Drosophila melanogaster: one gene and its partners. The protein of the gene in region 2 purifies or fractionates together with the protein of the main gene of each other region. This does not show direct contact. Each region holds a gene or a part of one and is shown on either strand. Other genes may lie near its edges. The genes, in order: RpL7-like, Rbm13, RpL24-like and Noc3.

Region 1 (8,082 bases), on a different chromosome or scaffold from region 2:
TGGCGCGCGGCAGATTCCTGCGCAATGAGAAAACAAAGAAACCGAGATCAGTTTTATACAAAACAAAAACTTCTAACTACTGTTTTTGCAAATAACTACTATCTTTAATAGTTGACTATGATGTTTCATTCGGAACTAAAACATTAAAAAGCTTTCAGGTAAAATAAGAGATATCTTATCACTTTCGATGACCGTTGATATAGAAAACATTTACCTTATACTCGAAAAAATCATAATTGGTTTGTAATAACTAGAAACATCAGAACTAAAACTAATCTACGGGCTTTACTGCGCATAAGAATTGAGTTTCCTACTTGAAATTTGTTTCAGTGTGTCAAAGAACGTGCTATTCAGCGAGAAAGCCACTTGGCTGTGCAGGGAGCGTAGCACTTAAATTGATTGCAAATTGAATTCGTTAGGGATGAGGCAGCATCCCCCACCCACTGGGTGGTATTCTAGGAGGAATGACATCAAGGACACTCAACAAGTTTCCACTTGTTGCTGCCTGCGCATGACGCACAAGGAATGAATGAGGCAAATAAACCCAGCCCAACCCAACCATTTATCCTTGTCACCACTACTCACTTGTATGGATCCTGTAGCTCCTCCGTCACAAAGTTTAAGTAGTTCCAGCCACCAAAGGCAAACAGACCGGAGTAGAAGGCGTAGCCAATGTTGCGGGCCGTGTAGATACCCTCCCACGGATTTCTGAAGTTCTCCAGCTCGCCAGTGGCCATGTAGTACAGTCCGGACAGGATAATCATGATGAGGGCCAGCAGCTTGCCCACCGTGAACACATCCTGCACTTTCATGGACACCTTCACCGACAGGCAATTGATTGTGGTGAGCAGAGCTGGGAGAGTGGGAGTTTCAATTAATTAACATTGAGTGGATTGTTTAACCAACTTACTTAGACATATGGCAGCCAGCAGTTTCACCGCATTCTGTGGGGGATCGCATTCCGGAAAGAATGGCTTGACCGCATAATGGGCAAAAGATAGAGCCACAATGGTCTAAAAAAAAAAATAAAACAATGTATTCATACTATAAATCCCACATGCCATTTGTTTCTAGCGGAGAAAGCTGTCCTACTCGTAATTGAATTCAATTCCGGTCGAAGGTAGCCGCCCATTAATAAATTTCTATTTATTTGCATCAACAACCCATCGATCAATCAAGCCAAATAAGTAAACATTCCGTAATTCAATTGATGAGTACTATAGGAACTGACCTGCGTGGTTGGCCGGATGATGAGCAGTGCGATCCAGAGGCGAAGGAATCCCACCAGCGGTCCAAAGGACACCAGCAGGTAGGCGTAATCCCCGCCAGATCTTGTGATGCATGTGCCCAGTTCCGCGTAGCACAGAGCTCCGATCGTCGATAAAATGCCGCAAGTCAGCCAAATCAAAAGGGAGCTTCCCACGGATCTGAAATGATTTAAAGTAGTCATCGAATCAATAAACAATTTGAATGAAAATAAACACTCGTAAACAAATATGGTCAGGGAATACATACATATATATATATATAAAGCAATAAAAATTATAAATATAGATCTAATATTAACTCGGTGGCAAATATTTGTAAGCAATAATAGTAAAATGGTATTTAAACAAAACATCTAAAAAAAACAAGTGCTGGGGATTAGCTTTCATTTCGATAAAATACTTTTATGAATTTAACTTCCTGGAATTTTTCGCAGCCGCCTTAAGCTTATGACGCACACCTTTTTTTGTGGCTCTTATCAATAATTTAAATGTTTGGCGCGCCTTATTGACGTTATTCTTGTGACTGGAGACAATTCGCTTAAAAAAAAAAAACACTTTAAAAAGCTGACGCAATATGTGGGCAGAATTTCAAGGTTGAATCTTTGAGGGAAAATCGAGAACTAATAAATGTATCTTAATTGGTGCTAAAGGAATGCCTGCGACAATCTATCCATTAATTAACAGCTAAATTGACCTTTTTTGTGCATAAATTGAATTAAGGAGGATGCTCTGTATCACCACTCACTCGGTGTAAATAAAGACTCCCGTGGGAGCAATGAAGATGCCCGATCCAATGATGGTGCCCACTATGATGGCCACTCCATTGATGAGTGTTAGCTTCCGCTTGAGGACAATCTTCTCCTCGCCATCAGCGGGATTTGGATTACCCGGCGCGGCGCATCCATTTGTGGGCTCGACCAGGCTGGTGGTCACTCCATTGGCATATCGGTCCGTCATGATGTCTGCACTGTGGGATTCTTCTGCTTACCCTCTTCTAATGGCGAATAGCGCACATTGTCACTGGAATGAAGGGTAAAAGTTGAAATGTAGAAAAAAAAGCCTTCATTACTATCAGCAAATGGGGCGCGAGCACGTGTTGCGCAAATTGTAAACAAATGCTATAGTGCTGATTTTAGTTACTAATTGCTAGTGAAGAAGACCCGATTTTTGCCTCGCTGGCAGCTAACTAATCTCCCATTGTCAGGCATAAACTTGAATGTTTCCCCGACGCCACTATCTTCGATACACGAAATTTAGCTTTAAAGTAGGGTGATTTTTGGGGTTGGCATGTTGTGGTGTGTAGCTGCCTAATGGGGAGCTCCACTTTTATGGTGACGCCTTTGCCGCGTGCCAATTTCCACGATTTCGTCATCACCTTACGACGCGTGGCAATGAATTTTGCAGTTGCAGAGTTGCAGTTTTTCTGGCAATTGCTCGATTGCTTTTATTCGCTTCTTTTTTTTTTTGTTGGTTATTCGCAAGGTTTGGAATGCAGTTTGGCTGATTAATTTCGGTTTATCTTGTTCCCAGCGACTTTGCACGTAAAACACGATTTATTTTACCTCGAGAGCGCGGACACAACAAAACGGCTTTGACTGCGAACAGCGACTGTGCGTTGGCATCGAGACCGGCATTTTCATACTAAAATTAACGCAATTTTCACCCTAAAACGCAGTGAGAGAGTGAGAGCAGCAAACGGAGAGAGAAACAGAGAGAGAGAGAGAATGAGTGTAAAGAAAAAAAATGAGAAATGAGTGCTCAAAACCGGAAATTAATGTCAAATGGTTACTTACAAGAAGAAAACATTAAAGCTGTCCTCTTGAATGCTAGCTAATGCTAAATTTATCTTATGGCATAACTATTAAGCATAGTTTTCAGTTGAATAATACAATTTCTTAAATGTTCCCGCCAAAAATTTCAAATTTGTTAGCTATTCACCACGAAACGCGCTCAGCTGTTGCACACATCACTTATCGATAGCAAAGCACTTATCGCTCCGCGCCCACCTCTATCCTTTTTAGTTATTGTTTTGGTGCTTGCACGTGTTTTAATTTACTTCGATTAAAAAGCCAAATACCAGCAATGTCAGACAAGTGAGTGATTGAAAAACTATAAAAATGTGTTGACCCTAAACATTATCTTATACTTTTGATCCCTAGATATGCGGTGCCCAACAAATTGCCCGGCAAAACAGTGTCGGTGCTAAAGCATCGCAAGAGGAGAATTCTGCAGGATGAATCTGTTGTTACGCAGAAAAGAAATGACCGCATCAAAAAGAGAACCGCCACCAAGAATCACCACAAATTCCGCCGTGCCGAATCCTTCGTAATGGGCTACCTGAAAGCAGAGCGCACGTCCAAGCGGATCAAGCAAACCATTCTGCGCACCAATGTCACCGAACAAAGTGCCAAAGCTGCCGACGATTCCAATCCCAAACTGCTCTTCGTGATGCGCCATGCGGGCAAGAAGATCTTCGACAAGACCACCGCGGATATATTCCGAACCCTGCGCATGGGCTCGCGCCACAACGCCGTCTTCATGGAGAACACCAAGGAGAACCAGTTGCTGCTGCGCGTTATCGAACCCTTTGTAGTCTACGGCAATCCCTCGCTGAGCTCCATTCGCGAGCTGGTCTTCAAGAAGGGCTTCGCCCGCATCGACGGCAAGAAGACGGCCATCCAGTCGAACACCATGGTGGAGCAACAGCTGGGCGACAAGGGTGTCATCTGTCTGGAGGATATAATCCACGAAATTTGCACAGTGGGTCCAAACTTCGCCGCTGTAAATGAGTTTCTGTGCGCCTTCACGGTTGGTTAACAACTTCTCTTTTGCAATTCTTAAAACTATACTATTACCGCCATTTGGTTTTTTCCAGTTGTCCAGTCCCAGCAATGGTTGGCAAAAGAAGGTATCCGTCTCGTACAAACGCGGTGGCGAGTACGGCGATCGTGGCACTGCCATCAACGAACTGATTGCCCGCTGCCTGTAGAGACCCTAGCCTAGTAAACCCTTAAGTGATTGTTCAACCTCTATAACCCATTCTGTAGCTAAGCCCAATACACATCTATATACAAACGTATTCTATTTGAGCGTACTTATTTAACGAAGAAAATAGATGGTCAGGTCAGCACTATCGTGAGTTTACTGTATGCCTATAAAAGCAATCCTGCGACTATTAAGGAACCACATGAAACTGTCTCTAACGACATTCCTCATTATTCTACATGTTTATCAACATGATAAACTTCACCCACGAAACAAGTTCTTTGCTTCTTGGCCTTGCGTGTCCCAGCCGAGTTCCCAAATTGAACAAACCAGAGAATCAACTTTCTGCCTCGAATAATAAATAAGTCATAACCGAGGTGGCTCCTCGCAAACGAAAGGTATGCCAAACTGAACTACTTGTTGCCATGAAGGAGGAACTGTTGTTTTTCGATTAGTCGGAGTCAGTGCCACTAACCTAGTGCAACTCGGGTCGTCGTATCTTTTGTTCGGATAAAACTCCAGGGACTACACATTGGAATTCAAAATCCTTAGATTCAATTAATTCTCAATGAATTCAAGTTTCAACAGCGAGCAGTTGGACACCGACCGCGATGGACTGCAAAAAATTCTGGCCCGATCTCTCAAGGAACCCATTCTTGGCAAGCACTTTGCCCTGCCTGGCCGCATAGAGCAGAGTCCACCCATCGAACTGGACACCAGCCAGAGCTACATTGCCGTCTACACTCATCTCAAAGTGCACGCCACCATGATGCCGGAGAGATTGCCCACGCCGGAGGCAATCGGACGAATACAGGCGGAGAACTTGGAGGCAGCGCCCAAGGCACGAAGTTCAAAGACCCGCTTGGATCCCTGCTCAAATATAAATTAAATTACGTTGGGCATCAATAAAGAAAGTATTGTTATTTTATCTTTTGGTATCCCTTAAATTTAGTAAAAGAATATTAAAATTTTTTTTTTTATTTTATTAAATATACATGTTCATAATCCTTGTAGGCATAAGCTTCACATCAAATTCGTGTTGAATACATCCTCCTATCGGTGCAGATCTTAGTATCCTTTTTCTTGAAAGTAATTAATATGATGCTTTTCGTAGGTTGTTTAAATCGCTACTAGGTTGATAAGTATAAGACAATTAATGGGACCGCATGTGGTGCTTTAACAATCAATATTGGGTTCATTCTTGAATCCATAAAAATCATGAGAGAAATGTAAAATAACCAAGTGTTTATGTGTCATCCTCACTCCTAATTCTGCAGGATACGCACGGCGTTGTACATCTGGCCAATGATGGGCAGCTGCTTGGACTCGCGCCGGCAAAGGTATTTGTAGGCATGCGACAACAGCCTGTCCAGGGCAGCCACATCGATCTCGTCGGGCTTGGTGGCCGCGATCTGAATGTTGTTCTCCGTCATCGGTTCCTTCTGCGTAAGCGGCGTGAGAAATGGATCAGTACTGCGAATGATATATGCGCTTGCAGCACTTACCAGGTTGTCTAGGTAGGCCAGCAACTGGTGGCCAACAGAGGCAATCTTCAGGAACGTGGACTGCGAGCTCTGTGCGTAAAGATTAAGTCTACGGCCAGCGATCTCCAGCAGCAGTCGGCCCAGCTCCTCGTCATCGCTGATGTCCTGGAGCAACACTTGAGCCTCCGCATCATACCCAAAAGCGTACAGTTCCACCACCTGGAGGAGGGAAAAATATTTGGAATATATTTTCTATTCCATTGTGTTTCCTCTGTTGTGCTCTCTACGGAGCAAACTAACGAACTGATGTTGAAAGGCAAAAGGGATTGTAAGCTCCCTGTCATGTGTGTTCATGGGTTCCTAGATTAGGAATTCTGGGATCATATATGTATGTACATTCTTACCTGCCGTCGTAGGATAGGAAGTTTATCGACCTCCCAACTGTCGGCTAAGGCACAGATCTTGCCCATGTAGAAAACATGATCGAGAATGTACAGCTGCTCCAAATCCTCTCTAATCAGATCCATGGTAGCGGTGACAAGGCGACACAGGAACTCAGTGCGCTGCTGTTGCAGGACAAGATCTGGTGCAGGCAAAACATAAGGCAGTTCCTTATTGATGTCCGCCAGCAGAGCTTTGTTGCTCATGGAGTCAAAAAGCGTGGTCAGTGGTTTTGGAATGCGCAGCTGGAAAAAGGAAACGAAGTGCAGCACGCTGCACAGTTCTGTTTGAAGACGGAGCAGCTGCGGCATGGCATGGTGCTGCTGGAGAGCCAGAAACTGCAATGGCAGGGCTCCTTCGCTGAGCGACTGCTCGAAGTGCAGTTCACGCTTATCGTGCTCCATGGAAGCGGTGAAATGCTGCAGGAATTCGAGGCTGAGTTCTAGAAACTCTGGCACTTTACCCGCAGACATCTCGAGATCTTGCTGGCACATCTTGTCCACTGGCAGGCGTCCCACTTTTTGAATAAGCTTCGCCGCCGCCTGTAGAGGAAACTTCAGGGTGGCATTCCACAGCATGCAACATATTCCATGCTTCAGGGCCCAGTCAGGTGTACGGAATTGGTTTAAACAAAGTAATGCTGCCTTTAGGTGGTCCAGCGATGAGAGCTGCTTGCTCCACTGGACCATGTACTGCCACGACATGAGACTTAAGAGGACGCCCGATTCCAAGCTGAAGGGAAAATGCGCACGCAGCAGAGCCAATCTTTCAAGAATAGGTTCATGGGCTTCTTTACTCGCCGCGTACACTTCCTTTGCCATTTCCAAATCCTCTTCTGATTCCGCGTCTTCATCGACTGACTCCTTGGTAGGCTCATCCTTTATCTTAACTTTGCTCTCGTCGTCTAACTCGTTTTCGGGAGGCGATATCTCCAAAACTTTACTCGGATGCAATTGTGCACTGATCAGCCACTTGGCTGTCAGTTCGGTGACGATGCCTTTGCCACTGCTCACAATGCTTTTGAGACTGCAGTCCGGTGGCTCGTAGGACATCTCTGGACCAACAGGATCCCGGCAGATGAGAGGCTTACTGCGAAGGAAGCAGTGGTTCATAAAGGAGCTAAGTGGAACGATTGATTTGGCACTTACCTTAGTATGGCTCCTAGCACGGCCACATCCTCTAGCTTGCCAGTGAGCAATCCCCACTGAGCCTCATCGTGGGAGATACGCTCCCAGCGCTCATCATCTTCGTTCTGCGAGGATTCATCACAAGATCCCTAAGGAAAAAGTGTTTTTCGCAAAAGAGTTTTTGATTTTAATGACTAGGAGTAGACCTACCTCTTTTCTGTTTCGCCACAAATTAGTCGCTACCGTTTTGCATACAATGGCCACCAGCAAGCCCGAAAATTGTTTACTCTCCAAGAGAAGTTCCCGAACTTCCTGCCACCACGGTGAAATGGCATTGTAGGCATAGTCATGGATGTGTTCACCAGCCAGATCACAAATGGTCTGCACCATAGCAGCAATTCTGGACATGTCCTCCACTACTTCATCACTAAAGTAAGAAAAGTAGATTGCACATAAATTGAGAACGGAATTTATAAAATATGTTTTTCTCACCAGTTGTTGTACTTAAAGGGCTTCTCAAGCCAAAACCAAATAATCAATTTAAGCAAATCTCTGCTGGGCAAACACGCCTGATTGATCCACTGCTTGAATTGGCCAAAGCATAGACCTTGGGCAAAGAACTGACTAAAGAGATCGATGCTTACGGCGCCAAACTTATCTGACTTCTCCGGAAGTAGACTTATCCCATCCGGACTATCGATGTTAAAGATGCTCAGGTAATCGACAAATTCTTCGGTCTTGTGCTCCGCCTGCAACTTGAAGCTCACTTCACGAGTG
Region 2 (8,151 bases):
CATAAAGTGTGCTTTTCAATAAAAAAGTGAATGAACATAATATGGAATCAAATACATATACAAATTGAAATGCAAGTATACATTGATACAATTAAGTATAAAAAATCACAATTGTCATTTAATTTGGTAAATATTATTAAACAATGTATATCAAATAAAAGATGTTAGTATTAATCGATATCTTTCGATTATTTTGTCACGGCGAGGCACGCAGCGAAGCGCTCATCTCTAGCTTCAGCCTCCTCTTCAAAACCCATAGAACTGGCAAAATAAAAAAAAACGAATCAAGCGCTGATTTTACCGAATCTCTTTACTGAATCAGCATATTATCATAGTCCATATAGTCCGGCGTTCGAACGGGTAAGTTGAACACTAAACGGGAGACATGGGAATTATTTAAAATTCGAGAAAAATCGGTGAAAAGGAAGAAAAACAAGTGATTGCATACAGTTAGTTACACACACGCGGCGGCCGTTACTCCTTGTACATGTGTGTGCGTGTCTGTTCGCGCTTCCGAATGTTTGTGTTTTAGTGAAGCGGCATAAGCGTGCATTATCTTGTACAAATGTACGCATTTCTCCATTGCCAACATTCGCTTCACACACAAATTACTCGTTTTCCATGCTGGAAGTGCCATCTTAGTCTATTTCCCAGTTGCAAATTGGAAAATCAAAGAGCGTTCTGCTGGCCAGCATGTGTGGTGCGCGTGTATTGGTGTTGCGGCGAGAGCGCGAGCGAGATGGGGCGATGCGTTGCATGCGGCAACAGCATATCTCTTCCATCTCTTTCGTTTTTGTTCTTTTCCTTTTTTTTTTGTCTTTTTTTTTTTTGCTGACAGCTCTCTATGCTTCTAATAAATATTTATGCACAATTTTTGCAGAGCTGGCGAAGTAAACTTCAACTTCGAGAGTCTCGGAATCTTTCGGACTTTGCTATAGAAAAAACGCTTGTTAAAAAAAAGGATGTAAGTGATGAAGATGAAACGTAATGTAATGAAACGCACACTAGTAACATACATACATACATATCGCTTGAGTACATAGATCACCGCCAATAACATTAATGTTCCATTTTTGCCTTGCAGATCACCATGTCGCACACCATCCTATTGGTACAGCCGGGTGCTCGTCCGGAGACCCGCACTTACTGTGACTACGAGAGCGTCAACGAGTGCATGGAGGGCGTGTGCAAGATCTACGAGGAGCACCTGAAGCGCCGCAATCCAAACACTCCGACCATTACGTATGACATTAGCCAGCTATTCGATTTCATCGACACAATGGTGGACATTAGCTGCATGGTTTACCAGAAGAGCACCAATACCTATGCGCCCTACAATAAGGATTGGATCAAGGAGAAGATCTATGTGCTGCTCCGTCAGGCGGCATTTAGTTCCAATACCTAAAGGGACGGCGATGCGACAAGATACATACATATAAAACCAAATAACACGATGATGCATGCATCAATGCGTGCAACACTAACGACAACAACACGTTGATGTATGCAACAATGCGTGCAATAGCAACTACAACAACAACAACAATACGAGGATACATGCAACAGCGCTTGGAACAGCATCCGCAACGGCCACAACACCATAACACCAATAACACCAACAAGATGAGGAAGAAGAAGAAGATGATGATGGAGTGGTGGGGCATCGATTCCATTGGAGACTTGCTGCTACCGACTAGATCGCCAAATGACAGCAACTTTTTTTTGCAACATAACGCAATGCAAAAAAGGAAAAGGAACACAAAGAGAACGATAAACTGTATAACTTAGAAATGGAAAACTTACTTTAAACGTACTAATATATATATATATATATAAATATATATATAGGCGTATATATATATATATACTGTATATACACCCAACTGACAACTGTGTGTGTTTTTGTGTGTTTCAATGTTTTTTTGTGCGGCAGCCACAGGTGACGGTTGTTCTTATCGATAGCGAACTGTATGTTTGTTTGTTTGTAAAACCGAATGGCAAATTTGCAAGTGTGCATTTTTTTTTTGTATGTTTTGCCGTGTGTGCTAGCTTAAGTCTTTGCAATCTATCGAATAATAAACTAACACATCAGGACACACTGAGCATATATAAACATATTTGTAAACTACTGATTCCCCCCCCCCCCCTTTATCATTTGAACTTAGTTAAACAACAACTTTTAGCCCGCTGATTTTGCACACCGATGGGCTTTGTGGCGTTTTAACGGCTTGTTTTAAGCAAAACAGAACCTTTGGTCGCAGATGCGAAATGACCTTGAGATGCTGGTTGTTGTGTGTGTGGTGAGGGGGGAGGGGTAGGGGTTTGTGGGTTGTACCCCCGCCAGATATTCAATCGGATAACGAACTTGGACCGCCGCTGAATCGCTTGGCCGCACTGCATTGAACTTGGCGTGCGATATTTAATTAGCTCCGCGACAGCATTTTGTTAAATATATATATATATATATATATATATGTATATATGCACATTTAGTGTCGACTTGTGGATGCTGCTTACTAGCGTTAACTAGCAATAAACATAGTGTTTATAGTTTACCCATTATATTTGCTGAATATTAATGATCACTAGATTTCTCATTATTCAGACAAATATATTTGTTTGTGAAAAAAGCATTTGCTACAGCAAACTGTACAGTTTATTACAAAAATATGTATATATATTTTCAAAAAAAAAAAAAAAAGAATTTCTCCTATTTAAAGTAGTTTGCTTGCCACGCAACTCCGCGCTTTTTACAGGGTATGCAATAGCGCTACAGCTGCGTCGAATATGGTGCATAGTTTTTTTTTTTAGAATATTTTTCAAAACTGGTTTTAAACACTGCATTGTCGCCACACCGCCCCGCACCGCCCACTTTCAATGTCAGTTAGCCAGCCTCGCTTTTTGGCCAGAAAGCAAAGCGAATGGGATGCAGATGAAGTGCATCCTGCATGAGATGCATTTTTCGGTCATATAGTGTTGCACTTGTCTAGTTTTGTTTTTTTTTCTTTCTTTTTTATGTAAAATACTATTCTTAACCGGCTAAACAATAAGCGTTAACAGCTAAGTGGATTGAGCATGGGGGGGGGGGAGAAATATATATTGTGGACCTGGCTAATGGCGCATCTGCCGCTGTGCCTCCTTCTCCACCTCATACTCGTACTCCAGCTGCAGTTTGGGCTTCGAGCGGCTGCGTCGACTGTTGCCCGCCGGCGATTTCTTGTCCTTCTTCGCTTTGCTGGCGGTTTTCTTGGCTGGCACTTTGGTCTCCTGTTAGAATGCAATTGTTCGTTTTAAGTTCGGTTTGGCAATTGGAATTTAGTTTTGTTTCGTTTTAGTTTTCTTTTTTTTGGCAATTTTCTGGAGCTGTTAGTTAGCGCGCACTGAATGGAAACCGACGCAACTGAATGAAAAGCGGCGAACGGCGCTCGGAAAGCTTTATTCTCCAAGCTCCAAGCGGGCAGAACTCGTTTGCTATTTCTAATTATGGTAATTTCGGAAGAAGGTGGCAGGATTTAAGCAATTGCCAACTATTTACATACTCAGAATTTTCAATATTAAAAGAAATTCATTGAAAAAGGATTTGGAAATCGTTAAATGCTCCAGAAAACTGCCAACAAAATAAAAAAGAAAAGCCTGATACATGACCAGAAACACTACCTCAATATCATCTGCATCCGCATCGTCATCCTCGTCGGACTCCTCGAAATCGCTGCCCACCTCGACCTCTTCCCGCTTGCCGGAATCGCTGTCGTAGTCGTCCTCGTCATCATCATCATCATCATCATCATCCTCCTCCTCATCGTCCGTATCTGCCTCGACGAACTCCTCGTCGAGCAGGGATCTCTGTACTTCCTCAGCTTCGCGTGAATCGTCGCCGTCCACCTCCATTTCGCGCTCCAGCTGCTCCTCATTCTCGTCTTCGTCGTCTAGCTCCTCCTCATCATCCTCGTCCACGCGTTCCGCCTCCAGAGCCTTGTTGAAAGCGGTCTGCGAAAAGTTGTAGATGTCGCGATAGGTGCCATTCTTCAGACGATCCATCAGCGCCTTCTCGATGTGATTGTCGATCTTGGCGGCCACCAAGGCCTTCTCCTCGCGCCGCGCCTCCCGCCGTTCGATCTTCGTCGATAGCGGCACAATGAGCTTCTGGCGGCGCAACTTCAGACGACGCATTCGTATCAGATATTGGGTGATCTTGAGGAAACGCTGCTTATTCTTGGCGATCATGTATTTGGGCCAGAAAACCAAATTCTCGTTGATCTGTTCGATGGCCTTCTCGAAGTTTCTGGACAACTTGATCCTCTCCCACAATTTGCTCGGCATATGCGCTCTCTCCGCCGTCTTGATGAACAAATAGATGATGCCCTTCTCCTCGCGAACGGTGGCATATTGTGAATTGGCCAGCGGACACGTTCTGCGTGTGCACAGACCCGTGAGATTGTACTCATGGCGGCAGAAGGTGCGTGTGTCGGTTCTGTGTGATTTAGATTGCCATTGAATACATAAATTTTCTACATAATTATAATTAACTGCATTTCAACTCACTTCACTTTGTGCGAACAGAAGGACTTGTTGATGATGCTCCAGACCACCTGGCAAATTGATAATAATCTGATTAGGACACCAACAAATGTGCATATTCATACACCTGCTACTCACATCGTCGTGCTGCATGGCGCCGTTTTGTTATTAACGAAATGCCTTCAATGATAAAAAACAACCAACTTACTTTGAAACACGTGCAAATTCAACACACAATATTGCGCTATCGATAGCCGTGTGCCGCCGGTTGGCATTATCGATAGCACCGATGACAGTTGCAATCGCCAGCGTGGCCAGATGGCAATGAATTCAAATTTCTTATATTCCAATTCCCAATTTATATTGAGAAAGAAAAAAAAAACGCACTTTTGTGTGTTAATAGCTTATAAAATTAGAGCAAGTTCTTTATTAGCAGTAATGTATTACGTGTCTTCATCCATCTGGCAAATGAAATACAATTTGGTATCACAATTAAATTCGGACATATATTGGGGATCCACCGCAACGCAGGATTTGCTGTGATTGGTTTTATAACTATGTCTTTGGAATATCGTTGATTGCTTTCCAGAAGCCAGGGATACGAACTTCTTGGTTTTCAAATCATTTATACCCGTCCAGTACCACCAGAACTTCAATCTTGCCTGAATGGTCTTAAGTTCCTCTTCGTTCTTAAAAGCTGCCAAAAAACCGCCGAATTCGCGACATGCAGCTGCCGCATCAGCCCAGGAAATTTCCACATTATTTTCTATATAGAATGATCGCTTGCCAATTAACGCAAACTTCTGTGGCAGAGGCTCCACTGTAGTACTGGAATACATTTCTAACAGACTTTCGATTTTGTTGCTGGATATTTGAAAACGGGATTGCGTTCTATTGCGAAACGCTTCCTGTTGGGCATTTTTTTTGCTGTGCAATTTCATTTGCTGGCTGGATAAATCCGTTTCTTTGTGTGAAATCGATAAGATTCTGTCCAATTTGGAATTGATTTCACTCATTAAATCAATCATAGAAAGCTGATTGGCTAGACAGGTTTCTTTTTTATGCAGTGGCTTGCCCAAGGATCCTCGCAAAACCAGGACGATCAATAACACAAAATATGAAAGCTTCATCATTTTAAGCACACACTGAAGAAAAACTTAAAAATAATAAATTTTTTTAGTGAAAAATTATTATTATTTTACTCTGCGTTGTCGCATCGATCAAATCTGAAATAGTTCTAAAGAATTCCGATGTATTCTGCTCGAAATACGTAAAAACTCTTGATTCATTGGAAAAATATCTGATAACGAATGTGAGAAAATACCCATGAATAAGTTAAATTTACATACTCATGATTAAGTTGTATTTATATGTGTGAGAAGATATTCTTACTGATAATCTTACAGTTTCCAAAGCTGGTTTATAATAATGCGAATGTACAATTGTAAAATTGTAACAATCAAATGAAATATTTTAAAAATCACAACAGTGTGGCCACCCTTGGGTAGTCGCCAAAAAACAGCTGATTATAAAAACGGCATATAATGAGCAGAAATAAAAAAACAAAAATTAAGTAAATATAGCAAATTAAATCCTTTAACTTCAAAACAAAAGCATAAATTTAAAATATATAAACAGTAATGCCGTTAGCTCGACGATCTGGCAGCCCTGCGGACAGCCGGCACAACAGCTGATTAGAGGGAGACAGCACGAGGCTGCTGGTGCACAAAATTCGACTCTTATTTATATATTTTTATTTTCGCAATAGAAGGCGCAGCAAAGGCGGCAACAGTGGGCGGGGCAAGTAAGCGCTGGCGGAAAACTCGACAAAGGAAAATTCAGCACACAGTTTGCGTCCGATCAAAGTGAGAAACGTGAGCCAGCAGCAAGATGACGAGTCGCCAGCGAACTGTGATCATATTCAAATCGGAATCGGAAAGCAGCGATGTGTACGCAGAAACGCTGGAGAAGCACGATTTCAATCCCGTCTTTGTGCCCACGCTGAGTTTCGGCTTCAAGAATCTCGATGAGCTGCGCGCCAAGCTTCAGAATCCGGATAAATATGCCGGCATCATATTCACATCGCCGCGCTGCGTGGAGGCCGTGGCTGAATCCCTCAATCTCGGCGAGCTACCCGGCGGTTGGAAGATGTTGCATAACTATGCCGTCGGCGAGGTGACCCACAATCTGGCGCTAAGCACCTTGGACCAGCTATTCACCCACGGCAAACAGACGGGCAATGCCCGGGCATTGGGCGACTATATAGTGGATACGTTCGATGGATCGCGTGCATTGCCGCTACTATTGCCATGCGGTAATCTGGCCACCGATACGCTGCTATCCAAGCTGGCCGAGAATGGCTTCTCCGTGGATGCGTGCGAAGTGTACGAGACGCGCTGTCATCCCGAATTGGGCGCCAATGTGGAGAGGGCATTGGAGATTTATGGCGAGTCGATTGAATTTCTTGCCTTCTTCTCGCCATCGGGCGTCAATTGTGCACAGCAGTACTTCACCAGCCGTCAGCTATCGATGGACAAATGGAAGCTGGTGGCCATCGGGCCGAGCACTAGGCGTGCCCTCGAATCGCTGGGCCAAAAGGTTTACTGCACCGCCGAGCGGCCGACGGTGGAGCATCTGGTCAAGGTGCTGCTCAATCCGCAGGACAGTCGGGAGCGGTTGCTCAAGGAGCGCGAACGGATGGCCGCCATCGAGAATAACAATTAATCCTAAGATTTCTTAAGCTTTCGCAGCTCCAACGGCTAATCTCCACAAATCATCATCGGATCTATCATTTATATGGATACAAATCCAAGTGGGGAGTTCTTATGGCCTGAATCTTTATAGTTATCCACAAGTAACTATGATGAACACAATCTGTAATTTCTATTTTATAAAATAAGATTTTCCATCATCGCATTGGTAGTAACAATTTTGAATAAGTTATGTAGAAAATTTCGAGCTTTGGTTGTGATTCGATTCGATTGATTAGTTATCTTTATAATTTCGAATACCTGTACAAGTTTTTCTCTATCGATTTGAAATCCAAGGATGGGTAATTAGTTTCCTGATCGAAACGTAAAAAAAAAGACTAAAACTCATGGTTTTTTTTTTTGTTTTTCTTTTTTTTTTATTTCGATTGACCTCCGAGCGAGTACAAAATTAGCGGCATGAAATGCCGACGTCTTTATTTTCTGTTTACTATTGGATTAAGCTGAATAAATTGTTTCTTTTCTAAATTTAGTTGGTCGTCTTTGTGGGTCAAATAGCAAATAGGAGGTGGCAACGAAGTGGAGTAGAATTAAGCAATTACAATTAAATTTAAACAATTTGCTTTGGAGTTTTCACTTGATTCTATTATTGGGGTAACTTTTTAATTTTTTTGTAATAACTTTAAAATAAATCATAAAGAGCACTTTTTTGTTTTCCAGAATTATTATTTTTAAATAATTTGTTTTTTTATATATTAATATAAATCTACACAAAGAAAAAGGAATGAAAGGTTTTTTCAAATTTAATTATAAATCGGCTTTTGAATTTATGCAAACAGTGGCAACGCCTGGCTTGAAGATTTACACGGCGCTGCCAGATCGATCATTTGCGAAGCGGCAACCTTCCACGCGATAGTATCGATTA
Region 3 (7,049 bases), on a different chromosome or scaffold from region 2:
GCTGGACGACGCTCAATTCACTGCCTGGCGTCTGCCACTACTGCAGACCTGTCGACATCTGGAGCAGCAGCAGCAACTCAGTTCGCTGTACCAACTGCAGCTGCTGCTAAAGGATCCCATCCGGGCCAGCATGACGTGCGTGAAGTTCTACGCCTTGCAGTGCGAGAACTTTCAGAAGCTGCATGCCAACGCCCAGCACTTGCTGTCTGCCCTCAGGCATCTTCAGGGTGAACTGGATATGGCGGAATGGGAGCACCTGCAGCGGCAGCAGGCTCGCAGAAACAGCGTGAGTAGCACAGCAAGCGTTCGAGGTGCCTGCTTCGCCATGCAAATGGATGCCAGGGCTCTCAATGGACACATCAATACCATCCGGCGACAGTTGGAAGTGGCTAAGTTCTTGGACAAGTGTGAGCGAGAACAGCCGCCAGATGAGCCACTACGAACTATACAAACTCTGAAGCAGGTACTGTCTTGAATTGCGTTTATTCTTTCTTTAACTAATACCAAACTTAACCTCCGCAAAGATTCGACTAGAGTCCAGTCGAGGAACTCTACCTACTCTGTTCGAAGGCGCCGCAGATCGGATACAAATTTGCATTCTGATCCTCATGTGCGGTAAGAACATAGACGAAGGTTTTGGCCTGGCTTACGGGTAAGCAAAAAGATAAAATCAAGACGACAATGTCAGCTATAATTGTTTTATTTTTAGCATTATGCAGGACTTCAAGCTGGCTGCACTTAAGGTGTTTGGAGCCACTGCTAAGTACCTGTCGAGAAATCAGCGCTTGGGTGAGGTAGAGCGTCTGCTGGACTGCATAGGAAGCAACAACGGCGGAGACATTTCCACGGAGTCCGATGAAATACTCTCGATTGCCATTAATGCTGCTGTGCACAGCAGTGCGCCGGAGACGAAACAGATGCTGGATCGGTTGATCAAACGCATCGGCAGCGTGGAGCTACGAGTCTCCTCCTACATCTACATTGGGCAGCTTAAATCCGCCTATCTGCTGGCCAACAAGCACGATCGATTGGCGGATATCCGGCGAATCCTGCGGCAGGCGGAGCTTACCGGTCAGGTTCACATCAAGAAACTGTGCGATATGAAGCTCCAGCTAAGCGCCGCGCCAACGCCTCTGTGATATCCCAACCCTCGAGCAATAACACATTAGTAACCCCTTGTTTCTGGGATTTACTAGCTGTGAGAAATACCAAATGATGAATTTGTAGCTTTGAAAACTCCTGCATTCTAAAAGACAATAACATATCTAAGCAAATTCTCAATTTTGAGATTTAGATGAATATATATTATTCGGAATTGGAATTCATCTTTTGATTATTCACCTAGTGAAGGCCCAAGTTGTTTTGTAACTGAGCTAGCATAGATAATTTGTTTTTAGAATTTAACATATATGTAGATCAATTTTAATCTTTCCAAAGGGCCAGCAAGTATTCCACCCTCCAGCTCAAAAAGACTCTCCCAGCATGTAACCAAATTATATTATTGATTGTACTGTATTTTATATTTATTATGTTATTTTTATATTATACTGTTATATGTTTATTACCCAGAAAATGCGCGATATTTTTGAATTCTTGGGGCGACGGTCAACACTGCTCGTGTCAAGTTTACCAGCACTGACAAAGATCTAAATAAGTGGTAAATAAATAGAATAATTAAGAAATGCGTGCGGTTATACAAAGGGTTAAGGCTGCCAAAGTGACGGGTATGCAGGATCAAATAGTTACCATCTATCATATAATTTTATACTGCTCCCCTAGTGTTGGATGAGCTGGTGTCCTCCATTGGACCAGGCCTGTGCGTGCTGGTGGGAATCAAGGCCAGCGACACCGCCAAGGATGTTGAGTATCTGTAGGTAAATTCCACTCTGGTGATAACCACCTTAGGTTTAGACCACCTAACACAGCTTACCATTCAAGTGTCCGGAAAATCTTGGCTCTCCGTTTATTCGAGGAGGAGGGCAAGCGTTGGCAAAAGTCCGTGAAGGATCTGAACCTAGAACTGCTGTGCGTCTCGCAGTTTACACTGTATCACCGCCTTAAGGGCAACAAACCGGATTTTTTGGCTGCCATGAAGGGCGAGGAGGCGCAGGAGTTGTACAATCAATTTTTGGATCGCCTAGGTCAATCCTACGATAGCACCAAGATTAAAGGTGAGTGATAGGAACACTCCAGCTGGTCATGTTTTAATCTCACTTACTATAATAGATGGCAAATTTGGAGCATACATGCAAGTGCACATAGAAAACGATGGACCCGTAACCATTAATTTGGAGTCCCCCGAACAAAAGGATACTGACAGAGAAGTGGACAAATGATTTGAAAATATATAACAACCAAAGACAACATTTATGTACCACGGGGTTTTTATATAATGTATTTTTTAGCAGCAACTTAAACTAAGAAAAAATCAGCGTACTCGTCCTTAGGCTTCTAACATCTCGAGATCCTCGACCCCCATTCCCTCCTCCAGTTTCTTCTCGAGTTCGCGTGCATCCACGTAGGTGATCTTCTCCTCGGGCAGATCCTCCTCCATGAGGGCGGCCTCCTCTGCCGCCTCCTGGGCACGTCGTTGCTTCAGCCCTGCGGCTGGGGAGCGAATCAGGGACATGTTGCGCTGCACATCCTTGACGTCCATCTGAATCTCGACCTGGCGACCCTTGCGCAGTCGCTCCATGACAAAGTGGCTGGTGCGTTTCTCCTTAATCTCCGTCACCCGCTTGATGGCCTCCAGACCCTTCTGCCAGGTCTCGCGGCTGTATTTCATGGGCACGTTGCGGCGCTTCTCGAACTCGAAACTGGGATCGATGGCCAGCTCCTTGCCGGCGGCCTTGCGGTACGCCTTCGTCCATCCTACCTTGCGGGGATTCTTCTTGCGCTTAAAGGCCTTGTGACACTTGCCTCGGCAGAACTTGAAGACCTGCGACGGAATATGGCGAAGCAATATAAACATCGGAGCACATGTAAACAGGAAAGCAAATCGTTCTTACCTTGCAGTCATTTCGCACGAATTGCACCCCGTGGCCCGGGTATATTTTGCTAGAGCAAAAATAGCACGTTTGAATGCGCATTTTCGCAATTTACGACGGATAAATTACGAAAACAAAACAAATGCGCAAGCTGCTAGCACGTGTGCTGCTGAAGAAGAAGAAATATGAAAATGTATCGGCAGTCAGCAGTGCGACCAGTCACTGCTTATCGATAACACTGGCTAACATGGAAAATAGCTAGATGTAGACAAAAAATATCCAAGCAAGAAATACGTATAAATTGCAAGTGACTGCGATACCAGTTGACAGTTGTATTGTTTTGATAATTTCAATTACCTTCGGTCTTTGTCCAAATCATGTTTTTCCCAGTATGTTTACATTAACTTAAACTGAATTGTTGCACCTGTTTCTCGATAACATCGCATGCGCTCGCCAGTTTGCACCAGCTGTTGCGCCAGCTGATCGCCCGCTCATGCGCTGGTCACACCGCCAGCATCCAAACAAACAGAGCAGCAGACCAAGAAAATCGGACACATCACCGCGAACGAGATCTTGCTGACGTGCGACCAGATGCAGAGCCCTGCCTTCGCGTACCGGGAACACGCAGAACACTCGCCGCGCGCCATGTACATGCGCGACTGGCGATCGGCCCTGCGGACGCCCACGTACCGGATTGGGAATCGGACGGTGCGCTTTAACTATCACTTCGCCCTTCTGATTGTTTGCGCCTTCGTACTCGTCCTACTCTTCTACTTTGCGCGCCAGGGATCGCACTCCTCCTCCGACGGCTACTGGCTGCGCCGCAGTTACACGGATGCCCGGAGTCTGGACAATGGTGGTCCAGTGGTCCAGGCCTACAATGCCACATATCCGCTCACGTCACCCATGGTGCTGCGTGGCGGTGTGATAAACTACCGGATAGCCATGATTGCCGATCTGGACACCAGTTCCAAGGTGAGCAAGGGCGATGGGAGCAGCACGTGGCGTAGCTACCTGAAGAAGGGCTACCTTACCTACACGGTGGCCAGGTCAGAGATCCAGATTAGCTGGGATGACGGGGCGCCGATAGTCCTGGAATCAGCATTTGCCCTTAAGGGCCGCGGAATGGAGCTATCTGAGCTAGTCACCTTCAACGGGCGCCTGCTCACCTTCGACGACCGAACGGGTTTGATATACGAGATTGTGAATGACAAGCCCATTCCCTGGGTGATCCTGCTCGATGGAGACGGACACAGTGCCAAGGGCTTCAAGGCCGAATGGGCCACAGTGAAAGAGCAAACGCTGTATGTGGGCTCCATGGGCAAGGAGTGGACGACAAGTGCGGGTGATTTCGAGAACAATAACCCCATGTACGTAAAGGCCATCACTCCGTCCGGCGAGGTGAGGTCGCTCAACTGGGTGGACAATTTCAAGCAGTTGCGCCTGCAGTCGATGCAAATAACCTGGCCGGGCTACATGATCCACGAGAGTGGAACCTGGTCAGAGGAAAGGAATCGCTGGTTTTTCCTGCCTAGGCGGTGTTCGAAAGAGAAGTGAGTAAGCGTGTCAGCCTTTAAATCCTTAACTCATCGATCTATCTTTGAAAGATACAACGAAACCAAGGACGAGCACATGGGCTGCAATGTCCTGGTCTCCGCCGACGAAAGCTTCACCAACGTTGAGACTGTACGGCTCGATCCTGAAAATACAACGCCCACGCATGGTTTCTCTAGCTTTAAGTTCTTGCCCGGCACCGATGACTCAATAATCGTGGCTCTTAAGTCGGAGGAGTTGAATGGCAAGACGGCCACCTTCATCACAGCCTTCGATATTGCGGGCAAGACACTGCTGCCCGAAACGAGGATCGAGACGGACTACAAGTATGAGGGATTCGAGTTCATTTAGCTCGCCATTCCAAGCTACCGCACTCCACTCTACTTCGATCCAGGTGCTTCAGTTTTAAACGTGTACATATTGTATTATTGTCCCATACGGTAAGCTTTATATTTATAGTCACCTAGATTAGTCCAGAGATGCTCATCTGCCTCATGAACCGTGACTCCTTGTCCCGTCTTGTACCATAGCACAAAAAAAAATTTTAGTTTATTTTTATTAAAATTGAAATATAAAACGTACAAAGCCGGTGGCAAACTCAGAAAAGCCCTGCATCACGTTTCTTTAATCTTCGCATCCAATCCGGCCACCATAAGATCGGCTTTATCGATGCGACCCTCGCTGGCGCGAACTTCCAGTCGATCGGCATTGTGGTTGACATTCCAGAGTTCGGGCAAAAAGCGGGGCTGCATTGTGTGCAGAAAGTGCTGCCGCCATAAGCGCTCCAGCTCCACCAGGCCGCCGAAATGATCGCGATATTGCTGCACCACCCGCTCGCCATGCTGACAGTAGTCGGAGTTTTCTACGCGATATTCCACGCTGGCTGCTTGCCGCAGGAGATCTTCTGTGATGTCCGTTTGATCGGAGTAGTAATCGAGGAGAGTCTTTTCCATTTCGGCCTTCTTTGCAGCGGGTATTTTCGCGCCATGATGAAGTAGTGCCTTGCCAGCGGATTGGACTCGTCTGGAAATAATAAAATGCAATTCAGATTCATTGAGAACTCTATGGAGATTAATTTTATCATATATCAGGGTATGTTTTGGAAAGTTAGGTGATAAAAAAGAGGCAAAATATGTCTGGTAAGATAACTGATAAGGCAATCTACATTCCTCGCAATGTATAATTTACTTTTACTTTTAACTTAGTTCTGAAAATGTATGGCATACTTACTTGAGCTGCGGATCATCATGGTACTTGACAGATCCGTCTTCCTGCTTGAAAGGAGCTTCGCACTGCACGGCCAGTTTGCTGCGAACCCTTAGATCCGAGATGTTGCTTAGCTGGTGGCAGGTTGGGCACAGGAGCAGCACATCGTCGGAGGTGTGAGATTTCATGACCAATGGGAAATGCTTTCTGTATTCCCGCGGTACCACGTTCTTCCGAATGTACGCATCCCGGTCACCACACACCACGCACTGGTTTTTCTTGATTGTTTGATAGAAGCGCCCCACATCTCCGACCGCTCGACCCGCTGGCTCGAAGTTAAGGCGGACAGTGAAGGGCTCTTCGCTTATATGCGTGCCCAGATTTTGATTGAGATACCAGGACGCCTTGCGCCTGTCAATTGTACACAGGAGTTCGCCATCGGGCGCCTGCAGCAGGCAGTTATCGTAGAAGTCTTTGGTTCGGGTAGCTATTTGCCGGTACGGTTGCTTCTTGGGCACCCATTTATTGCTTTTGGATTGGGTGGAGCCCTTTGAACGAGTTACTCCGCTGCCGGACGGGTTGAGTGTGAAGCCTTTCGTGAAGTCCACGTCGAGAAAGGGTTCGAATTTGTTGTGCATGCTATTGTCGTCCAGTTGCCTTCGTTGCCAAAAGTGTTTTGGCTGCAGATCCCTGCACAATTTTTGATAAATGGCCACCGCCATAAGTGCGTCGTTGGCAGCGTAATCAAGCTGTTTTGGCTCCAAAGTCTTGGCCTCCCAGTTGGAGCAGGCCAGGCGCCAGTGCTTGTCCAGTGTATAGTTCAGGTGAGTTTTGGAGAGCTTTCCCAGTCCCTCAGGTTTGTGGCCTGCCATTACGCAGAGGAAGCGCAGATCCAGTGTGCTGGCCACGCCTACTCCATAGTCGTGCGAAAGTTTCATGGCATCCTCCTGGGGTGCCACGCCCACTTTGATCACGGAATCGTCCTCGAGAAGCTCCCGCAGATCCTGGGGTATTTGTTTCATATGGCACAGTCGGAATAAGGCACATAGACCCCGATGGGAGCTCAATTGGAGCAAGGCCACTGGCCTGCGGCTGCCGCCCACGGTGATCCACTCGCAATCGAATCCAAGGACTTTAAAAGTCTGGCAGTGACTAAGAGGCAGAATATATATATATATTTCCATTGTCGTGAAATTAAAGTGGTTTTTACTTACTTCTTCAGTTCATTCAAAACCCATTGCGTGGTCGGATCCTGGACGGAGTTGATCACTTCTATGCGTCGCTGGGGCACCAGGCTGCCGA
Region 4 (8,830 bases), on a different chromosome or scaffold from region 2:
ACACTAACTGACGAACTGTCGTTGGTCTTTGGGGCAGCTGCCACATAAATATGGTAAAGATGCCGCATCCAAGTCGCGCTTTCAAATTCGTATATATTTCTAAGATCGTTCTGAGCTTGCCCGCAGTAACTTCCCAAGTTTTGGACAGTTCACAGGTCGCCGGTCGAAAAGGATAAGCCGAATATTAGACTCGGATAAGCTCGTCCGCTCGGAATCTCCTGCTGCATGATGCAAGTGCCCCTGCAACGCTGTTCGTGCGTCTTGGCAGGTGAGTTGGCCAACCAGTCGGCGCTGACCCAGACCCAACCCACTGCGGCGCGTAACTCAACAGTGACGAGCGATCGGCTGTACGGCCCATCATTCCGATCACTATTAGCACTTCCTTTGTAGGGGCGTCTGTCTGTCTAAGTTTTTGCTGCCTTGCATATTTACGAGGCATGCGTCTTGCCTTTGGCCCACCGGCTGCCGCAATTCTTGCAAGCCAATTGATGTTGCAGTGCGTTATTTCAGCAACTGGCACAGTGTATGCAACTCAATTCACAATGAAGAGATTAACCAAAATATAAAATTAAGAAACATATTGAATCTTCTAAATGAATCAAGCAACAGCATTTACAATTGTGCACTAAACATTTTCGAAAAAAATTGTTTCTAGTTTGTATGCTTAAAGTATAGTTAATTTGATAAATGCCCCGATTGTCTGTAAATGCAATAGTGAAGCTTTTGACCACTGTGCCCCCGATGTAGGAGTAGGAAGCTGAAAAATAAAGATCGCGGTGCAGAACCATCTAAGCCGCGCTATCAGCTCCCAGAATCACAACGTACTTGGCCTTAATAGGGGCTGCGAAACTCTTCGCTGCCATCGCCATCGATGGCTGCCAGGGCGTTCATTTCGATTTGGTGCGTCGCCAGTTCCACAGCTCGGAGCAGATCTTCGCCAGATTCCACGGACGGTTAGAAAGCGTTAATGTTGGCCCGTCTCTTTATTCCAGTTTTGGTGTTGCTCTGGAGTGGCGGATTAGCCCAGTTGCAAGTCCAGGTAAGCTATAAGGAGATTCTCTTTTCTTAACTGTAATCCGCGCTTTTATAGGCTCAAAGTGGATACAACTATGGGCGTCCCGAGGTAGCCAATGTAGGAGGAGCCACAGCTGGTGGTCGCTTGACACCTGCACCATATCCAACAGCACCAGCCCTGCCACTTACTCCCGCTCCGGCTCCTACTGCATATGGAGCAGGCTTGTTTCCCTCACCCGCTGTTGGATTTACGCCAAGTGGACAGGCTACCACTGCTTTTGGAGCACCCGCCATTGTAGGAGCCACAAACCCCGTTAACCCACCGAGAAGAACTTCATCTGGCGGATTATCTACCCCATCATCTCGCAGTGGACCCTATGGACCGCAGGCTTCGCAGTATGGAGGTACTCCCGGTGGATCTCCAATCCGAGTTGCTAGTGGAACGGGAGACAGCGGGGACTACAACGATTCCGATGGAGACTACTCGGCCATTCCGGGTGTTCCTGGAGTGGATTATCCTATTTATGCCCAGGTGCCGCGCACCAACTTTGACTGTGCGCAACAGCCCCTACCCGGCTATTATGCGGACATAGAGGCCCAATGCCAGGTGTTCCATATCTGTGCCCTCAACCGGACCTACTCCTTCCTGTGTCCCAATGGCACAGTCTTCAGCCAGGAGACATTAGTCTGTGTGTGGTGGAACCAGTACGACTGCGTTTCGGCGCCCAGCTTATATGCGAACAATGCCTATATCTATGATTACTCCGAGAGAAGTGGCTCCAATCTGAGAACATCGAATACCAACAACGTCTACCGTCCGGCCGCTTCTTCCTCGGCTGCCTTCGGGGCACCTCTGGCCACGACTGGAACACTTCGAGCCACCGGAGTGTCTCAGGTTGCTGGATATAACTCCGGCCGGGGGTCCTATCCTTCAGCCACGCCCACCCCAACCGCTCAGCCCCAAAGCCCGTATGGCGCTGGGGCTGTCCTTCGTCCCGCCATTGTCCCGAGCACTGGAGCCAATCGATTACCGCCATCGGGAGCTGCTGTCGGGCTTCTGGCCACTGCCGCCGGAGCTCTTCCCGAGAGTTCAGTGGCTGGATTCGGGCAACAGCAGTCGGGCGGGAATAGAGAGTATCTGCCACCAGCTAGCGTTGGACAACAGCGACAACGAGGAGGCACCAATGCATAGGTAGCGAATGAAAAATTCTGGCGAACCCCTGGGACTTGTACCCGGTTATATGACACTACTCTTAGTGACTCTAGACTTAGCCTCTATATAGAATGTTAGGAGCTCCAAACATAATAACTTGTAAAAATCCCATTAATTGAAATATATTACAGAGAAGTTCTAAGCAAATGAATGGTTTCATGTTTTAAAACCAACTCGCACCTTTCTGATTTAACAACAAATTTGTTCGATTATTATCTGGCTAATCAAATCCTGGTATCACACTTGGTATTCTCTTCCTTTAACTGAGAACGTATTTGGAAGAATGTTTAATATTGGGAAACAAGTTGGGTATTGTTTAAAAATTGCATTTCTTTCCACACTATTCCGCAGTCATTATAACTCTACTTCAATCTTCAAATTTTTCTTTATTGAAGTGCACTGAAAAAATCAATTTGTAAGGTTTGTTTATCCTTCGTCTGTGAAACTTTTCCTTGCTGCAGCAGTTTTCCGTACTCCTGTTTGAAGTCCGAGCGAATATATAAGTGTTTGCCCCTTTTTAGTTTTGGTTGACCCGCTTTTGGCAGCGGTATTGTCGGATTGAAAGCCATCTGAGTGCTGTCGAATTGCGTAAACAGCTCGTGGGAGGTACTAAGGAAAGTAATAATTGTTAGAGTCACATATGTAGTTGCCGTCTTATTACATACAGTTTGCCAATTTCCGTGGGCAAAGCTCCCTCGCCCGTTGCTGGCACTCCATGAGCAATGTGAACGGCCATCCGTCGCACCGTGGGATGATAGTGACGTGCCAGAAGCGCAAGCTCATACAGCGCTGTGCTTGCTGCGTTACAGTACTCAGGATCGTCCAGTTCGGGATCGTAACGACCAGAGCCTATCGTAGTGTCTGTATCCAATAGGTTGTCAAGCACAGAAGTGAGCTGGAAGGTTTGTTTTATTGTGCCAAGCGTGGCCAGGGTGCCATTATGGAGCAGATGCAGACTTCCAGTAAGCAAGCGTTTCATGAAGGCCATTAGACGCTGCTGGCTCATATTGCGACGACGCTTTACGAGCACCTCATCCAAAGTTCGCAAAATAATGGCGAAGTCATCGTGATTTTTGCCTGCCTGCACCGCCAGCATATTTCGGTAAAAGTGCTGGTAGAATCGGATGGGGTCGATGTTTAGCACCTCACCCTGGCCGGAAAGGATAACGAATATGGTCTGAACACAGTGCAATCGCTCCCGGTAGCCCAGCTCGTCTTGGTCCTCTAGAATGCGGTTGAGCACATCGATTAGATCGGAGAAGAAGTCCAAATTAATGACGTGCGCAAACCTAAAAATCATCCTCTATATTTAAAATTCCAGGAAAGAGATTTACAATAACCACTCACTCTGCCAATCCTTCTAGAATAGCGCTCAGCACGCGGGAGGTGGGATCGTTCTTAAGCACGCGGAAGTAAATGGTAAACACCATCTTTATGATCTCGGTGAGCTTCTGATGCTTTGCTTGCTTGTTTTCCTCGGCACGGGTTTCCTCTAGTTCTCTGTTAACCTCGGTGAGCTTCTTACGTCTTTTGCGCTCTTTCTTGGACAAGCTTAGTAAGCGTTGACGATGCGACTCAAGCTTCTTTTGCTTTAGCTCATTCTCCTTTTCGGCATCTAGGTTTACGTTCTTGATTTTAAGGCCCATCAGACAGGTGATGCACTCCACATGAACATTGTTCTGCTTCGTTTTGATCAAGTGATTGATGCGTCGCACTATAAAAAGAGTCATTTCTAACCGTTTGTCGTTGGAAAAGACTGTGCGGAAGCACTGATGGACCGCCGTTCGCATCTCTGCATAATTGCAATTCAGCATATACACCAGAAGCTGGGCAATGTTTTGAACGTAGTTAAAGTATGGATGTGCCACAAGCAAGTCACACATGCACTGTACTGCCACGGTGGCCAACTTCACAGTCTGAGGCGTCCTTAGACCACCTCTCCTGTTAACTTGCGCTGTGATCTGTTCCAGTTTCTGCAGGAACTTTTTAAACTGTTGAAGCAAGGCGTTTTCAAAGGTTACACGATCAAGAGTGGCCTTGCGAAGCGTCTGCATCTTGGTGTCGACCTGACCCACTCGATACTCGGGCAAGATATCTTTGAATATCTCGGTGACAGAGATTATGGCCAGCTTTCTGACGGCCATTAGGTTGGCCTGTCGACTGGCTGGGTTGATTTCGTCCATGAGTTCGTACAGAGCATGAAAGTTGCGCATCTTATCCTCTGGCTTTTCGAGCAGCCCGGAACAAATGATTCCAATGCGATACTTCTGGCGTTCGATCTCCTGCTGCCGGGCAATAAGTAGATCCGTGGTAGAGATAAGTTTTTGGACGGGAGCGGCGGTGGCGGCCTCGACATCATTGACCACATCGTCATCGCTGTCCTCATACTCCGTATCACCGTCTTCCTCGGAATCATCCTCCTCTTCTTCTTCATTCTTCTTTTTCTGCTTGGGCTTAGGTATGTAATCCACCTCTGTCGTACGGGTGATAATCTGACCATCCCTGGACTTGATTGGCAGCAAATCCAACTTTATTTTTTGCGCGTCCTGCTCTTTTTTCGTGTCAGAGGCATAGGCCCTTTCCAAGCCGATGGATTGTCCTTGGTCAGGATCATTCTCGCCGGTCGTCTTGGCCTTTCGCTTGCGTTTGTTAGCCTGGAGCAGGGCAAGATCATCGCCATCCAGCATGTCCGCAACGTTTTCAAGCATCTCATCGTCGCCATCCTCGTTGTCTTCCTCGAGCGGATCCAAGCCCAGGGAGGCCAATTTGTTGTGCTTTTTACGCTGTGCTAAGTTGTCCCGCTTTCTCGCCTTTTGGGAGAATATATTCTGACCCTGTTCGCGCTTCGATTTCAGTTGGTCGCGCTTTTGCTTCTGTTTTTGTTGCTGCTGCTTAGAAAGCGGTGTTTTTTTCGACTTCAGGTGAGCAGCCCGCTTGACCGAGCTGATTTTGACCTTTTTCTACAATGATTTGGATTAGAATAAGCATTAAATAATTTTACTTTCCACTTACAGTTCCCATTGCACCCGTTTTAGTCAACTAATAGTTAATTTTCACAAATGTTGCCTTCTGAATGGGACGAGCACATGGAACGCCAACGGAACTGTCCACTCGTCAGCGGAGCGCAACAGCTGCTCAGAAGCGGATAGTATTTTGTTTAGTATCTTACATGCGCTTACTTAAAATACTTTGTTTTTGAAGAAATAAGTAAATGACACAAACTGGCTGTTTTTTTTATCACTAAACAGAACCAATACTATAAAATACAATTTTCGGAACTCAATCTTCATAGCAGAGATATCATTGTTATTATAAATTATCGAAATAATGCTGTAGATAACTATGCAATGGTCACACTTAAGTGAGAAGTGTAAACAAAACAAACAGATGTCTGACGAGGAGGAGGATTATATGTCCGACAAATTCCTGGTTGGGTGAGATTACACTCACACCTAACTAACAACCAACCACCTTATGAAAAACTCTCATCCTTCCCTCATTAGTCTGCAAGATGTCCGACCGAGTTTGGTGCACAATCGCGGCAGAAAGCGGCAGATTGAAGTCGAGTCCAAGAAAGATGAGCTGAAGAAGCGCCAACGGGAGACAGCAGCTTCTTCCGGGAACGTAGACAATGTTCGCCTTCAACAGTCCCTCAACAAACCAATTTCCGCCGACAACAAAGGATTCCAGCTACTGGCCAAGATGGGCTACAAAGCCGGTTCTGGGTTGGGCATAACTTCGGATGCTCGTACTGAACCCGTGGGGATAACTATAAAGAGCGGTCGTGGAGGACTTGGGCGCGAGGCAGCCGTTGCAGAGTTGGCCCTCAAGCGGCAGAAGTTGCGGAGGGCACATCTCCTAAACAAGGCCGGCATTAAAAGCGACGAGGAAGTCAGTACAGAGGCTTATAGGAGGCGCGCGACCCATAAAGCGGAGGAGCGAAAATTACAGTATGACATAAAACGGTGCCAGCAGACCTGCGAATCGTTGGATCTTAAGTCCGCTATCACAGAACCAGATCTCGATTTCTTTTGGCCACCTAAACCAAAAGATGAAGATGAATCACAGAGCGACGCCGACGATCCTGAAGTCGAGGTGCCACCTAAGCAAGAACCATACAGTCCCTCGGAGCAATTAGAACTCCTCACTGGCTACCTGCGCACAGCCTATTGCTTCTGCTATTGGTGTGGGACCCATTACGATGACGCCGAAGATCTGGGCTCCAACTGTCCAGGACTCACTCGTGACGAACACTAGCTCCAATCAATAAAATAAAATAAAAAAACTAGCTTGATTGCTTACACATAATTTCATAAAATCAGCAGGTTTAAAATATTTTACAATAAGTAGTCAAAAAACAGTAAGCGGTGTATCTGGTTTGGAGGAATGTCTATAAATGAGTTGTAATCCAGTTAGTGGGAGCTACAAGCGACCCTCCAGTTTCTGTATCAGATCGTGGGTCCTTTCGATAACACTAAACACGAATGGCCGTTCCATTGGATCTGTTCGCAGCATGTACTTAATTAATTCGTGCATGTCCTAGACAAATATTTGGAATTAGTTTCCTTTACAATATAAAAAAAAGGTTTATTACCTCTGTGTAAATTGAATCCTCTGGAATGTTTATGTTCCCACTGAGCACAGCCAAAGCCACGCTGTCACCTCGCTCGTAGATGGGATCGTAGGGTGAATTAAAGTAGCACATTGCATAGAGCACACAGCCAAGACTCTGAAAGAGGGAAATGTTAAGGAAGAACTTCAATAACGCTCTCTTGGATCTGCTTTACCCATATGTCAGTGCGCTCGTCAATTGTGCAATATGTTTTCACGGTAAATAACTCTGGAGCCCGGTAGACAATGGAGCTCCTCTCCTCGGCTTCGTCCTGCAAGCGCTGAGCATCCGTCTGGCCCACAATCTGCAGTCGGGCTTCTGTCATTGACCCGAGATCCACAATAATTGGCTCAAAAGAGTCCGACAGGCAGATGTTGGCCGTTTTTAGATCTCGGTGGGCCAGAGGCACCGGCATTGCCTCGTGGATGGCCTTCAATCCCTCGCAGACGCCCAGAAAGATTTGCAGGATCTGGGCCTCGGGCATGTGGTCCTGTTTCCGCGATCGCAGCTGAAGGTGGTCCGCAAGAGATCCGTGCTTGTAATAGGGAAGCACAATGAACAAGGTGCTCGTTGTGTTTATAACTATGTCCGCCTGGCCCTTCAGCTCGTAATCCACTACCCGGATCACGTTTTCCGAGTCAATTTTTCGACAGTTTTCGATTTCTCGCAGAGCTATATTCTGATCATCGATGCTGTGGCAGGTGATGCGCTTTATCGCATAGCTACGTCGCGTGGAGGCGTTTTCCCCAAGGTCGATTAGACTGAAGCCCCTGTTTAAACACTCAGATTAGATATATCAGAGGAGATAGTGGGAAAAATGTGGTACAAACCCCGTCGCCAGCCTTTCGCGGATTGTGTATCGAGATCCGTTTATGTTCAGGGTCTCCTTGCGGCAACTAAAGAGGCAGCCGCGTTTCATGATCAGCGTCCATCCTATACTCTGCATTTTTCTTAAATTATGCTATGTACTTCACAACTTTAAGCTTAACAACTAGTTCAATTCACATACAAAATCTAAATAGAAAACACAAAGCTGAAGTGGAATGTTTATACTGGAACGAATTTATGAAGTTCGGTGATTTTTAACCATATTTGTAAGATTCTATATTAACTTTAACTTTAAAAACTAGGCACTTTCGTATTATTTTTACGATTTTAGTTTCTTGACGTATTAATAAATTAATATTTATTTTGATTCCTTGGTGTATAGATTAAAGGAATTCAAGATTCTGTCATCGCATAATCGCAATTTCACTGCACTCCAAACAGCTGATTCGAAGACAGGGCGGTCATATTTGCCATGTGGCTGTGTGCGTTGCCACCTAGTTGCGAATTGTTGCTTACGGATTTCTTATCGTGCGGAATATAAACTTAGCATTTTTCTAATTTAATCAATTATAAGTATGGAGGATGACGCGTGGCTGGACCTCGTGGGCATCAGCGCCGATCCGCCCAACAGACGCAACAAGTGCGAGAAATGCAAGTGAGTGGTGAAGCTGGGAATCTGCCATAAAAATTAAAGTATTTTCATGAACTCTATTATAGACGACCCGTGGTTGTTTGCTGGTGCCCGGCTTTACCGCATCCACCTGAGGCGGTGTCCTCACAGATTGTTATACTGCAACACCCTGCAGAGGAGAAGAGATCGCTACGCACTGCACTGATGCTGCAGTTGGGTTTGGAACCGGGAAAATGTGTCGTCTACAAAGGCAAGCGGTTTCCAAACCATAGAAACCATGCTGATCTGCAGAGGATTTTGGACTCTCCACAAACACTGCTTCTGTATCCCAGTCGGGACTCGGTCCCACTGGAAGAGGTGGACCACAGTGCGGGTCCTTATACACTGGTGCTCATCGATGGTACCTGGCCTCAGGCTAAAGCCATTTACGCTAGCAGTCCGGCTCTACACCGCCTGCGACAGGTGAAACTCATCGCCGTGGGTATAAGTGACTACATCATCCGTACACAGCCTACTGAAGGATGCCTTAGCA

What was found.
Region 1: the proteins of Rbm13 (region 2) and RpL7-like purify together in Drosophila melanogaster (affinity purification with mass spectrometry, with the first as the bait; one large-scale study listed by BioGRID). This does not show direct contact.
Region 3: the proteins of Rbm13 (region 2) and RpL24-like purify together in Drosophila melanogaster (affinity purification with mass spectrometry, with the first as the bait; one large-scale study listed by BioGRID). This does not show direct contact.
Region 4: the proteins of Rbm13 (region 2) and Noc3 purify together in Drosophila melanogaster (affinity purification with mass spectrometry, with the first as the bait; one large-scale study listed by BioGRID). This does not show direct contact.

The regions. Positions count from the first base shown.
Region 1 is NT_033779.5:12,053,072-12,061,153, forward strand, and holds RpL7-like (ribosomal protein L7-like), read left to right. Parts: upstream 1-3,276; 5' UTR 3,277-3,350; coding exon 3,351-3,361; intron 3,362-3,427; coding exon 3,428-4,076; intron 4,077-4,143; coding exon 4,144-4,257; 3' UTR 4,258-4,821; coding exon of another isoform or gene 4,822-5,142; 3' UTR 5,143-5,180; downstream 5,181-8,082. Other genes in the region: JhI-21 (juvenile hormone Inducible-21), read right to left, coding at 1-17, 586-853, 911-1,013, 1,232-1,427, 2,014-2,225; CG34164 (uncharacterized protein), read left to right, coding at 4,822-5,142; Rab3-GAP (Rab3 GTPase activating protein), read right to left, coding at 5,519-5,695, 5,759-5,956, 6,142-7,267, 7,327-7,454, 7,516-7,732, 7,798-8,082.
Region 2 is NC_004354.4:8,898,318-8,906,468, reverse strand, and holds Rbm13 (RNA-binding motif protein 13), read right to left. Parts: upstream 4,771-8,151; 5' UTR 4,672-4,770; coding exon 4,657-4,671; intron 4,590-4,656; coding exon 4,543-4,589; intron 4,472-4,542; coding exon 3,658-4,471; intron 3,268-3,657; coding exon 3,112-3,267; 3' UTR 2,708-3,111; downstream 1-2,707. Other genes in the region: e(r) (enhancer of rudimentary), read left to right, coding at 1,091-1,405; Uros1 (uroporphyrinogen III synthase 1), read left to right, coding at 6,409-7,242.
Region 3 is NT_033777.3:11,428,401-11,435,449, forward strand, and holds RpL24-like (ribosomal protein L24-like), read right to left. Parts: upstream 3,183-7,049; 5' UTR 3,090-3,182; coding exon 3,009-3,089; intron 2,939-3,008; coding exon 2,444-2,938; 3' UTR 2,340-2,443; downstream 1-2,339. Other genes in the region: Sptz (spastizin), read left to right, coding at 1-463, 525-652, 710-1,139; Dtd (D-aminoacyl-tRNA deacylase), read left to right, coding at 1,682-1,724, 1,780-1,870, 1,939-2,171, 2,227-2,336; CG5276 (uncharacterized protein), read left to right, coding at 3,579-4,540, 4,595-4,892; Exd2 (exonuclease 3'-5' domain-containing 2), read right to left, coding at 5,156-5,564, 5,772-6,899, 6,962-7,049. UniProt on the Drosophila melanogaster protein: Involved in the biogenesis of the 60S ribosomal subunit. Ensures the docking of NOG1 to pre-60S particles.
Region 4 is NT_033777.3:7,241,636-7,250,465, forward strand, and holds Noc3 (nucleolar complex protein 3), read right to left. Parts: upstream 5,335-8,830; 5' UTR 5,249-5,334; coding exon 5,240-5,248; intron 5,188-5,239; coding exon 3,575-5,187; intron 3,517-3,574; coding exon 2,893-3,516; intron 2,837-2,892; coding exon 2,614-2,836; 3' UTR 2,597-2,613; downstream 1-2,596. Other genes in the region: CG14607 (uncharacterized protein), read left to right, coding at 226-268, 993-1,039, 1,091-2,206; CG10053 (uncharacterized protein), read left to right, coding at 5,615-5,661, 5,731-6,484; CG1227 (uncharacterized protein), read right to left, coding at 6,650-6,766, 6,822-6,956, 7,015-7,609, 7,670-7,785; Dtwd2 (DTW domain containing 2), read left to right, coding at 8,243-8,322, 8,385-8,830.